Linked DNA regions of Canis lupus familiaris. The protein of the gene in region 2 binds, or shares a complex with, the protein of the main gene of each other region. Links are inferred from orthologs where the notes say so. Each region holds a gene or a part of one and is shown on either strand. Other genes may lie near its edges.

Region 1 (3,992 bases), on a different chromosome or scaffold from region 2:
TATACACGTTAAACCTTGAGAGACGCTGGTTTCAAGCTTTCCCTGGTTGGACTATAAATCTTTCTAGGGATCTCTTTCATCTGCCCCCAGAGTGTATCTTATGGCCTGATACCCAAATGTCTTTTGAGTTAAGTTTTATTTACAATTATTACATATGTGATACGTTTTTTAAATTCCTGGAGGAATGTCTACCATATTGTTAAAAACAGAAGACACCATGTGTTTTCACTTTCTGTGATATTTCTGTTTTTCGCAACCAGAATGTGAGATCTTTACAGGCACAAACACATGAAGGTTTGGAAAAGTAGAAAATCTAATACGTTCACAAAATGGTATATGATGTGTGTAATAGTATCTACTGTAATTGTGTTGAGCTATTTTTACAGATACGAAAAGATGGGCAAACTATGTTTTTTGAACAAGATTAAATAACCCTAAAAAAAAAAAAAGATTAAATAACCCTATAGATAGATCAATGACGCTATATTTGGGTTTGGTTTCTTTGTGTGTGTGAATATGGACACCGTAAGGGTCTATATATCAAAATATCACTGATGGAGCTTTATTTGTACTTTTCTACACTTAAGAATTTTTTGACATTTCTATGATTTTTTTTCATTTCTATGATTTAAAAAAAAAATATATATATATATATCACTTTTGTAGTAAGGAAAAAAGTCATTTTCATTTTAAAAATATCTATACTCTTTATTAAGCCTCTTTACATTCAGTGACCCAGATTTTTCCACAACCCCCGAAGCTGATAGGTCTGGAAATACCCGACCATTTTACAGATGAAGGCAATGGGCTTCAGAAATGTAACCCCCAGGGCCTGATTCGGGGAGGTCTTCTCCCACCGTGGAGCTACTCTCAGATCAAAACAATGTGGTGAATCAGGCGCCAGCTTTGGTCAAAACCCCTGTCATTGTAACCATCTTGCTCTCCCCAGCTACTAACTGGGACAGGGGGACAAGAGAACTCCTCAAAGTCGGAGCCCTGAGCATAATTCATGCTGCACCACCTCCCCCTGGTGGTGGCTCTAGAAACTGGAGCTGTCCGGACAGTGAGGAGCTACAGCAGTTAGGGAACAGGGACACTCTGGGAGGTACGACGCTTTGACTTGCGGTTTTTCGACTCTTACGATGGGATGGTGCAAAACGCCACACGTGTCCACCAGAAACCGTCCTACACATTTTGAATGTGGCTCTCTCCCTGGGCTGGCAACTTGCGGCATGCTTGTGATGCTGGGCGGCGGCAGCATGCCACAGCTCAGTCAGCCCAGAGATCACAGGGGCAAACAACCTACAGCCATTCTGTGCCCGTACAGCTATTCTGTTTTTCAACCAATTACAGAAGATATTCAACATTTCATTGTAAGTTTGTGGTAGATGATTTTTGCCCAACTGTAGGCTAGTGTGAGTGCTTGGGCACCGGTTTGGTAGGTTAGGTGTATTAAGAGCATTTCTGACTTCCGATATTTTCAACTTATGATGGGATTATCAGGAGGTAACCCATCGAGAAAGATCTGTACTGTCTTCCATCAATATCACCTTTACTTCTTTAAATCAAGAAGAATCCTGTTCCATCAAGGAATCAGGTACTGACCCAAATACACGGAACAGGGCCAGGTGTCAACCAAGCTCAGAGCTTTGGATGATGCCGAGGGCGAGGCCACACTCCCTCCCCTCTCCCTCCCCACTGCTTCTGTGGCAGCGGCTCCTGCCCCAGTGTTCTGCACTGCTTTCCCCCATTCTCTCTGCCTCCTTCCATTCCCAAGCTTATGAAAGGCCAAGCGGTGGCCCATGTGCCCTCAGCCATGATGTCGCAGGGAGAGGTCCCAACATCAGAAGCCTGTCCTCAGGCTCTAGGCACTGATTTTTCTTTTCTTTTTTTAAGGCTTTATTTATTTATTCATGAGAGACACAGAGAAAGAGGCAGAGATACAGGCAGAGGGAGAAGCAGGCTCCCTACAGGGAGCCCGATGTGGGACTGGAACCCGGGTCTCCAGGATCACGCCCTGGGCTGAAGGTGCTGCTAAACCGCTGAGCCATTCGGGCTGCCCTAGGCACTGATTTTTCAAGTATGTCAGGTCACCACACTAGAAAGCACCAATGTCAGTCTTCAGCTGCGTCCCCCTTGTCTGCTGATAAACACACAGCTTTCTTACTCTTCCAGGAAAAAGGAAACATTCAACAGGGTATCTGGAATAGGAGGAGAGAAAAACTGTAGCATATCACCCTCTCCAGAGAATGCAAAACATCAGATTTATAAGAAACACAGACGCACTGCAAGGGCATCTCTGTAATGCTTCCAAAGAAGTGAGAGACACACACACACACACACACACACACACACACACAGAGCAGACATGAAGTAATAAATGAAAACCAGCACCTTGTACAAGGCTTTGGTGCTCATCTTCTGAAATTTGGTCCCAGGCCTTGGGCAAAGCTTGGATGTTTGCCAAGTCTCCCCACTGGATCGAGGACAGAAGGTACTTTCTCTTCAGGTAACTTCCTGGAAGTTAAGGACTACCCAAAAAGCAAATGAAATATGTTGAAGGGGAAGGGATCCCTGGGTGGCTCAGCGGTTTGGCACCTGCCTTTGGCCCAGGGCATGATCCTGGAGTCCTGGGATCGAGTCCCACATCAGGCTCCCGGCGTGGAGCCTGCTTCTCCCCCTGCCTGTGTCTCTGCCTCCCTCTCTCTCTCTCTCTCTCTCATAAATAAATAAATAAATCTTTAAAAAAAGAAAGAAGGAAGGAAGGAAGGAAGGAAGGAAGGAAGGAAGGAAGGAAGGAAGGAGAAAGAAAGAAAGAAAGAAAGAAAGAAAGAAAGAAAGAAAGAAAGAAAAGAAAAGAAAAGAAAAGAAAAGAAAAGAAAAGAAAAGAAAAGAAAAGAAAAGAAAAGAAAAGAAAAGAAAAGAAAAGAAAAGAAAAGAAAAGAAAAGAAAAGAAAAGAAAAGAAAGATGTTGAAGGGGAAAAATGCCCAGGGGAGAGCGACCGGGAGCCAGAAGAGTGAAAGGGTGGCCTATCTTTCCATTTACCAGGTGGCAGGACTCACCAACGCTACCGATCTTTACCGAGCACCTCCTCACTCACAGAGCTACAAGGCCAGAGGGATGAAATGTTACCCCAACAACCTAGGATCTCACCATAAAAAAAAAAAAAAAGCAAGCCAGGAACTGAAAAGATACAATCTCAGTGACGTTAAAGGGGAAACTGTATAGCAGTTCCGAGGATGAAAACCTCCCTTGGCTGGGGGGGATGGCGGGGCGGGTGGCAGCAGAAGGATTCCAGCTGGCAGGAAAGGCGTAAGCAAAGGCACAGAAGTGGAGAAGCACGGACTGGTTTCAGGGCCTAGTAAATCCTCCCATCTGGCCAGCAAGGAACATTAGCAGGGAAGGTGGCTGAGAAGGCAGGTCGAGCCAGAACATAAAGAGCACTGAAGACCACCATGGGGATTCCGGTCCGTGAGCAATGGAAGCTGCTCAAAACTCCAATGTTGGCAACGGGCAGAACAAAGACATCTTCAGAAGGAAGTGAGGTCACAGCGGCTGGAGCCAGCTTAGAGGGAAAGAAGCCAGAGGTGGAGAAACCTATCAAGAGGCTGCATAGACCAGGGGCCACACGAGAGGCAAGAAACTACGGAAGAGGCAGTGCAGATACAGAAGGAAGATACGAGGGCCCAGGGAACAGAATCAAAGCACCTGCCAAGGGGTCGTGTGGACTTTCTCAGAACAGTACCTGGCACGTCATCAGTGCTCAGTACTGCTGGCTGAGGCTCCATCAAAAACACAGGCTGATTGTTACCTTCTTCTCAAAACCTTTGAATAGCTTCCCGTCGAAGCCAAGATCCTTTCAAAGACCTCCGAGGCTCTGCAAGGTCCGGCCCGGTCTCTCGGAATCCGTCTCCTATCGGGCTCCCCTTCCTCACTCCAGTCTAGCAACACTGGCATCCGTGCTACTTTCTGAACATATCAGGCCTGCTCT
Region 2 (4,531 bases):
GCCAGATGGAAGAGATACAGGGGACAAGGTATGCGGAAAGGGGCATAGAGTCTCCATGCTCTGTGAGTAGTACACCATTCTCCTCAAATCTCCACATGTTCATCAACCTAGAGCTCCCCAAATCCCATCCTTGTCAGCTTTTATGGAGGCTTCATTGCATAGGCATGGTTGATTAAGTCACTGGGCAGTGCCCATTGATTGAACCTCCAGCCCCTCTCCCCTGGAGGCACAGGGGAGTCAGGTGGGGCTGAAAATTCTAACCCTTTAATAATCACATGATTGGTTTCTGTAGGGGGGAACCAGCCCCCATCCAAAGGTCACCTTCCCAAAAGTCACCTTATCAACATAACAAGACATCCTGCTCATTCTCACACTGCAGAAACACCAAGGGTTTTACCTCTGTGCCAAGAACAAGAAAAAGACCAAATATTTTCTTATTATAAACCACAATATCACAGCCTGTTATGCAAGTCCTTTCTACCACTTCTCCAGCTTCCCCCAGCTTGCTCTCCATGCCTTAGGGCTAGCTCTGTACAAGTTCTGACTTTGACCTAGAATATTTCCCCTGGCCATGTGTGTCTCCACTCACTTGGCTAACTCCTAGTATTCTTTAAGGCTCTGCTTATTTAAGGATCATATTGGTTTTCCCTTCATTCTTTACTTATACCACTAACCAACAATATGCCAGGCACGGGGGATGAAATGACTGAATGAATCATACCAGGACCATTTTCATGGAACTTACTTTCCAAAGAGGAGGTGGATAATAGACAACCAAATGACCATGACCAATTTGTATCTTGGTAAGTGCCCGGATAGAAAAGAAAATGGGGTCTTGTGTTAGAGTGAACCCCTGAAGAGATGTTATTTAGGCTTGTTGAAAGGTCAACAGTATGGGTCCTAATGTGAGAATGAGCTTGGTGAGTCTGAAAAACTGAGCAAGGCCAGTGTATCTACGATGAGGGCAGAAGCAGAAAAATGTTCACCTTTAGCCCAGAAGGCTGACCTTTAGTCTACATAGTTCTGAACAAAGATCAAATATGTACTGGTTAAAAAAAATAATAATAATAAAACGTGCTGGTTGCTACATTCTTTTTTTTTTTAAGTTTTTGGTTTTTCTTTTTTTAAAGATTTTATTTATTTATTCATGAGAGACATAGAAAGAGAGGCAGAGACATAGGCAGAGGGAGAAGCAGGCTTCCTGTAGGAAGCCTGATGCGGGACTTGATTCCAGGACTCTGGGATCTCGACCTAAGCCAAAGACTTAGCTCAACCACTGAGCCAACCAGGTGCCCCTGGTTGCTACATTCTTTTTTTTTTTTGTAATTAATTAATTAATTTATTTATGATAGTCACACAAAGAGAGAGAGAGAGAGAGAGGCAGAGACACAGGCAGAGGGAGAAGCAGGCTCCATGCACCGGGAGCCCGATGTGGGATTCGATCCTGGGTCTCCAGGATCGCGCCCTGGGCCAAAGGCAGGCGCCAAACCCCTGCGCCACTCAGGGATCCCGGTTGCTACATTCTTAAAGGGTCTCATAACTGTCTGTAAATCTCACTGATAGTTAATATCGAACTGAATGATAAGCACCAGAGAAATGTTGCAAAAGTAGTTTTATGGGTAGAAATTCAAGGAAACATGTATAATACCCTCTGCATGTCTCCTCCCCCTTGACCACTAAGCATATAACCACCAGCTTCATACCGCAAAAATGCAGCCCTTTCTGCCCACAGGTTCTGTCCCCAGGCTACTTAAATAAACTTACTAAGTTGCACCACGCAACATCCCAAGAATTCTTTCTTGACTGTTGTGCTCCATGACCCCACATCACTTATAATGGAAGGGTGGTGGGGAGGGATCTGGGTGAGGAAGCGGTCAAGCAAATGGAACCTTACATACTAAGATAAAGAGTTTAGGTTTATTCCAAGTCAGTGGAAAGGAACCAATAAGCTTTGAGTAGGAAAGTGATATGATCTGATTTAGGTTTTCAGAAAGCCACTCCTTCCACAAAGAAATCTTCCTGGATCTCCCAGGTTGGGTTAGGACTCATTGCACTAGATGTCGCACCTCTTCTTGAACTATCACCGACACTCACTAGTGTGGTAGACTTGCTGGGTGGACTGTGAGGCCACCCGAATAGTGACTATGTCTTGTTTCCCTCTCCTAACCTAGACACACAGTAGGTGACAAATGAAATGTGTTAAATGGAGAAATAGCTTTTACCACCTGCACTATCATCTCCTAAGGGTTTCTCTCCTGCAGTAGGCGCTCCTTGAGGGCGAAGACCACATCTGATTCATTCTCCGTCTGCTCCATATTTAGCAACCCAAACCACAGATCTAACTCCAAGGGACCCCAGGCCAGGAGGGAAAGAGACCAGGAACGAGAGGCCCAGCACAGAGCAGAGAGGTTCAGCATAGCGGCTCCCTCCCTGATCCTCCCAACCTGCGCACGTTACTACGTGGGATCAAGGTGAGGCTCAAACGAGCTGACCCACAGAGCACTAAGGGCACCACACGGCACGCAGCGAGCACTTCGCCGATTGACAGCTCTTATTAGAAGCAAAGGGCTCTGTGCGGCGGGTAATCCCGAGGGGAACTCAGGGAAAGGTTTTGGGAGGAGCTGGGCATGCAAGCCCTGGCACCCGAGCACCCCCGCTAGCGCTAGTTTACAAAGACAATTACAATTTGGGGGGTCAGGATGTGCTGACACTCCCTCGCACACATCCAGTAGTTCTACGCGGGAAGACCACAGAGGCCCGGTCAAGCCGGTGGGCTCCGGGACCGCCCGCCGAGCCGCAGGACGCTCCCCCGCGCGCGCGCACCCACCTGCCATGCGTCCGCAGGTATCCCGGGAAGGAGCGCGAAGCCCCGCCCACGCCTACCGGAAGCGCGCTGACGTGCTTCCGCTCCGCGCCGCTGGCCGGCCGCCACTTGTGGCTCTGCCGCTCTAGCCCCCGCCTGTCGCTCAGCTGGGCCTGGCGCGGTTGCCTAGGGAACGGGCTCCCGGCAGCCCCCGCGGCCCGGAGTCCGTCCCCGCCTCCTCCGGCCGGGCCCGGCCGACGAGTCCGGAGGGGCCGCCGCGGGAGGTGAGTCCCCTTCCTCCGCGCCCCTTCCTCGGCCTCCCCGGGGCCGCCCTTCCCTGGCCTCGGCGCCTGGGGTCGCCCTGCCCGTCTCGCCCGCGCGCCAGCACCTGAGGCGCCAGGCTGGGCGGTCCTCCGCCGCATCCCCGGGCCCTCATCCCTCATCCCTCATCCCTCATCCCTGGGCCGTCATCCCTCATCCCCCGTCCCGCGTCCTCGGTCCCCCTGCCGGCCCGCCCGCGGCGCCTGCCTGCCTGACGTTGCGCCCGGTCCCCCGACCCTCCGCGCCCTGGCGCTGCTGGCGTAGACCTGGGCACGCACCCCCAGGTGTTCAGGAGGGTGAATGCCCCCCCCCCCCCAGTCCTGCCTTAAGGCCTGGGAGGCTTCAAGGAGGGGGTGCCCCGGCTTCAGACCCCCCAGCCGTGCGCTCGGCGCAGGTGATGCCACGTCGCTGCGCTGCAGCTTTATCATCCGTTAAACGGGGATGATAACGCCTTCTACGCCTGGGTGGGAGGATCAGGTGGGTCCGTGCGTGCGAAGTGCTGAGCACCGAGCCTGGCACCTGATACACTTCACTAAAGGGTCGCCCCTTGCTGTGGTTGCCCACATGCTCTACTTCCACTTCCCTTCCCTGCTCTGGATCCTTCCTCACTCTCTCGCTGACACTCAGGAATCTTAAGTCTGTTACGTTTGTTCCTTCTGTTCCATCTGCTGGCGGGACTGTGGGGTCCCAGCCTGGGTGCACGCTTTATCTGCTGGAGTGATGCGTTGCACTTGGGGGTGACCCCACCCCCACCCACCCCCGCGCACTTCTTGCAAACACAGCATGAGCAGAATCTGGGAGTAAAGCCACTGTATCCTGTGTAGTCGCCAGTGTCTCCTAAGCTGCAGGGCTTTTTGTGTTTTCTCACACCCAGTGAAGTGCACCTTGATAGGGTTTCTGACCTTGTAGGGCTTTTTGTTTTGTTTTGTTTGAAATGTCAGCTTACATCCCATGTTCGTTCATTCACCAGGGATTATTCGGGGTCCCTTGAATGTCAGCCATGTGCTAGGCTCTAGGGATGCTGTGGTCCCAGTCGCTGCCCACTGCCCTCAGGGAGCTTTCTAACCAGAGAACCAGCCTGTACAAATAGGGGGGATGCTCTCCCTGAGTTTTCAGGACTGGCCTTGAGACTATGGTGGAGAGGATGGGATACGGATAGCCCTCCTGGAGGAGTGACTAGCAAGTGGTTTTCAGAGGTTTAAGTTATTTTGGAGCCACATTGTCTTTCTCTTTTTTTTTTTTTTTAAGATTTTTATTTATTTATTGAGACAGAGAGAGAGGCAGAGACACAGGCAGAGGGAGAAGCAGGCACCATACAAAGAGCCCGACGTGGGACTCGATCCCCGGTCTCCAGGATCACGCCCTGGGCTGCAGGTGGCGCTAAACCGCTGGGCCACCCGCGCTGCC

The links.
Region 1: the proteins of CINP (region 2) and C15H1orf109 are in contact, whole or in part, in a cryo-EM structure (PDB 8RHN), measured with the Homo sapiens proteins. The link is inferred for Canis lupus familiaris from reciprocal best matches to the Homo sapiens genes CINP and AIRIM. Residues at the interface, in NP_116019.1 of Homo sapiens: Leu161, Leu162, Thr165, Glu169, Asp177, Leu178, Leu180, Ser181, Tyr182, Ser184, Met185, His188, Pro190, Tyr191, Val192, Glu193, Ser194; in NP_001289959.1 of Homo sapiens: Leu107, Gln110, Ala113, Ala114, Asn116, Leu117, Phe119, Val122, Ala124, Leu125, Phe128, Pro129, Asp130, Leu131, Arg134, Leu135, Lys138, Gln139, Ala142.

What each region holds. Positions count from the first base shown.
Region 1 is NC_049236.1:4,889,695-4,893,686, reverse strand, and holds the end of C15H1orf109 (uncharacterized protein C1orf109 homolog), read right to left. Parts: intron 2,514-3,992; coding exon 2,395-2,513; intron 2,202-2,394; coding exon 2,164-2,201; 3' UTR 682-2,163; downstream 1-681. UniProt on the Homo sapiens protein: Part of the 55LCC heterohexameric ATPase complex which is chromatin-associated and promotes replisome proteostasis to maintain replication fork progression and genome stability.
Region 2 is NC_049229.1:70,737,521-70,742,051, forward strand, and holds the start of CINP (cyclin-dependent kinase 2-interacting protein), read right to left. Parts: upstream 2,971-4,531; 5' UTR 2,835-2,970; coding exon 2,828-2,834; intron 1-2,827. UniProt on the Homo sapiens protein: Component of the DNA replication complex, which interacts with two kinases, CDK2 and CDC7, thereby providing a functional and physical link between CDK2 and CDC7 during firing of the origins of replication.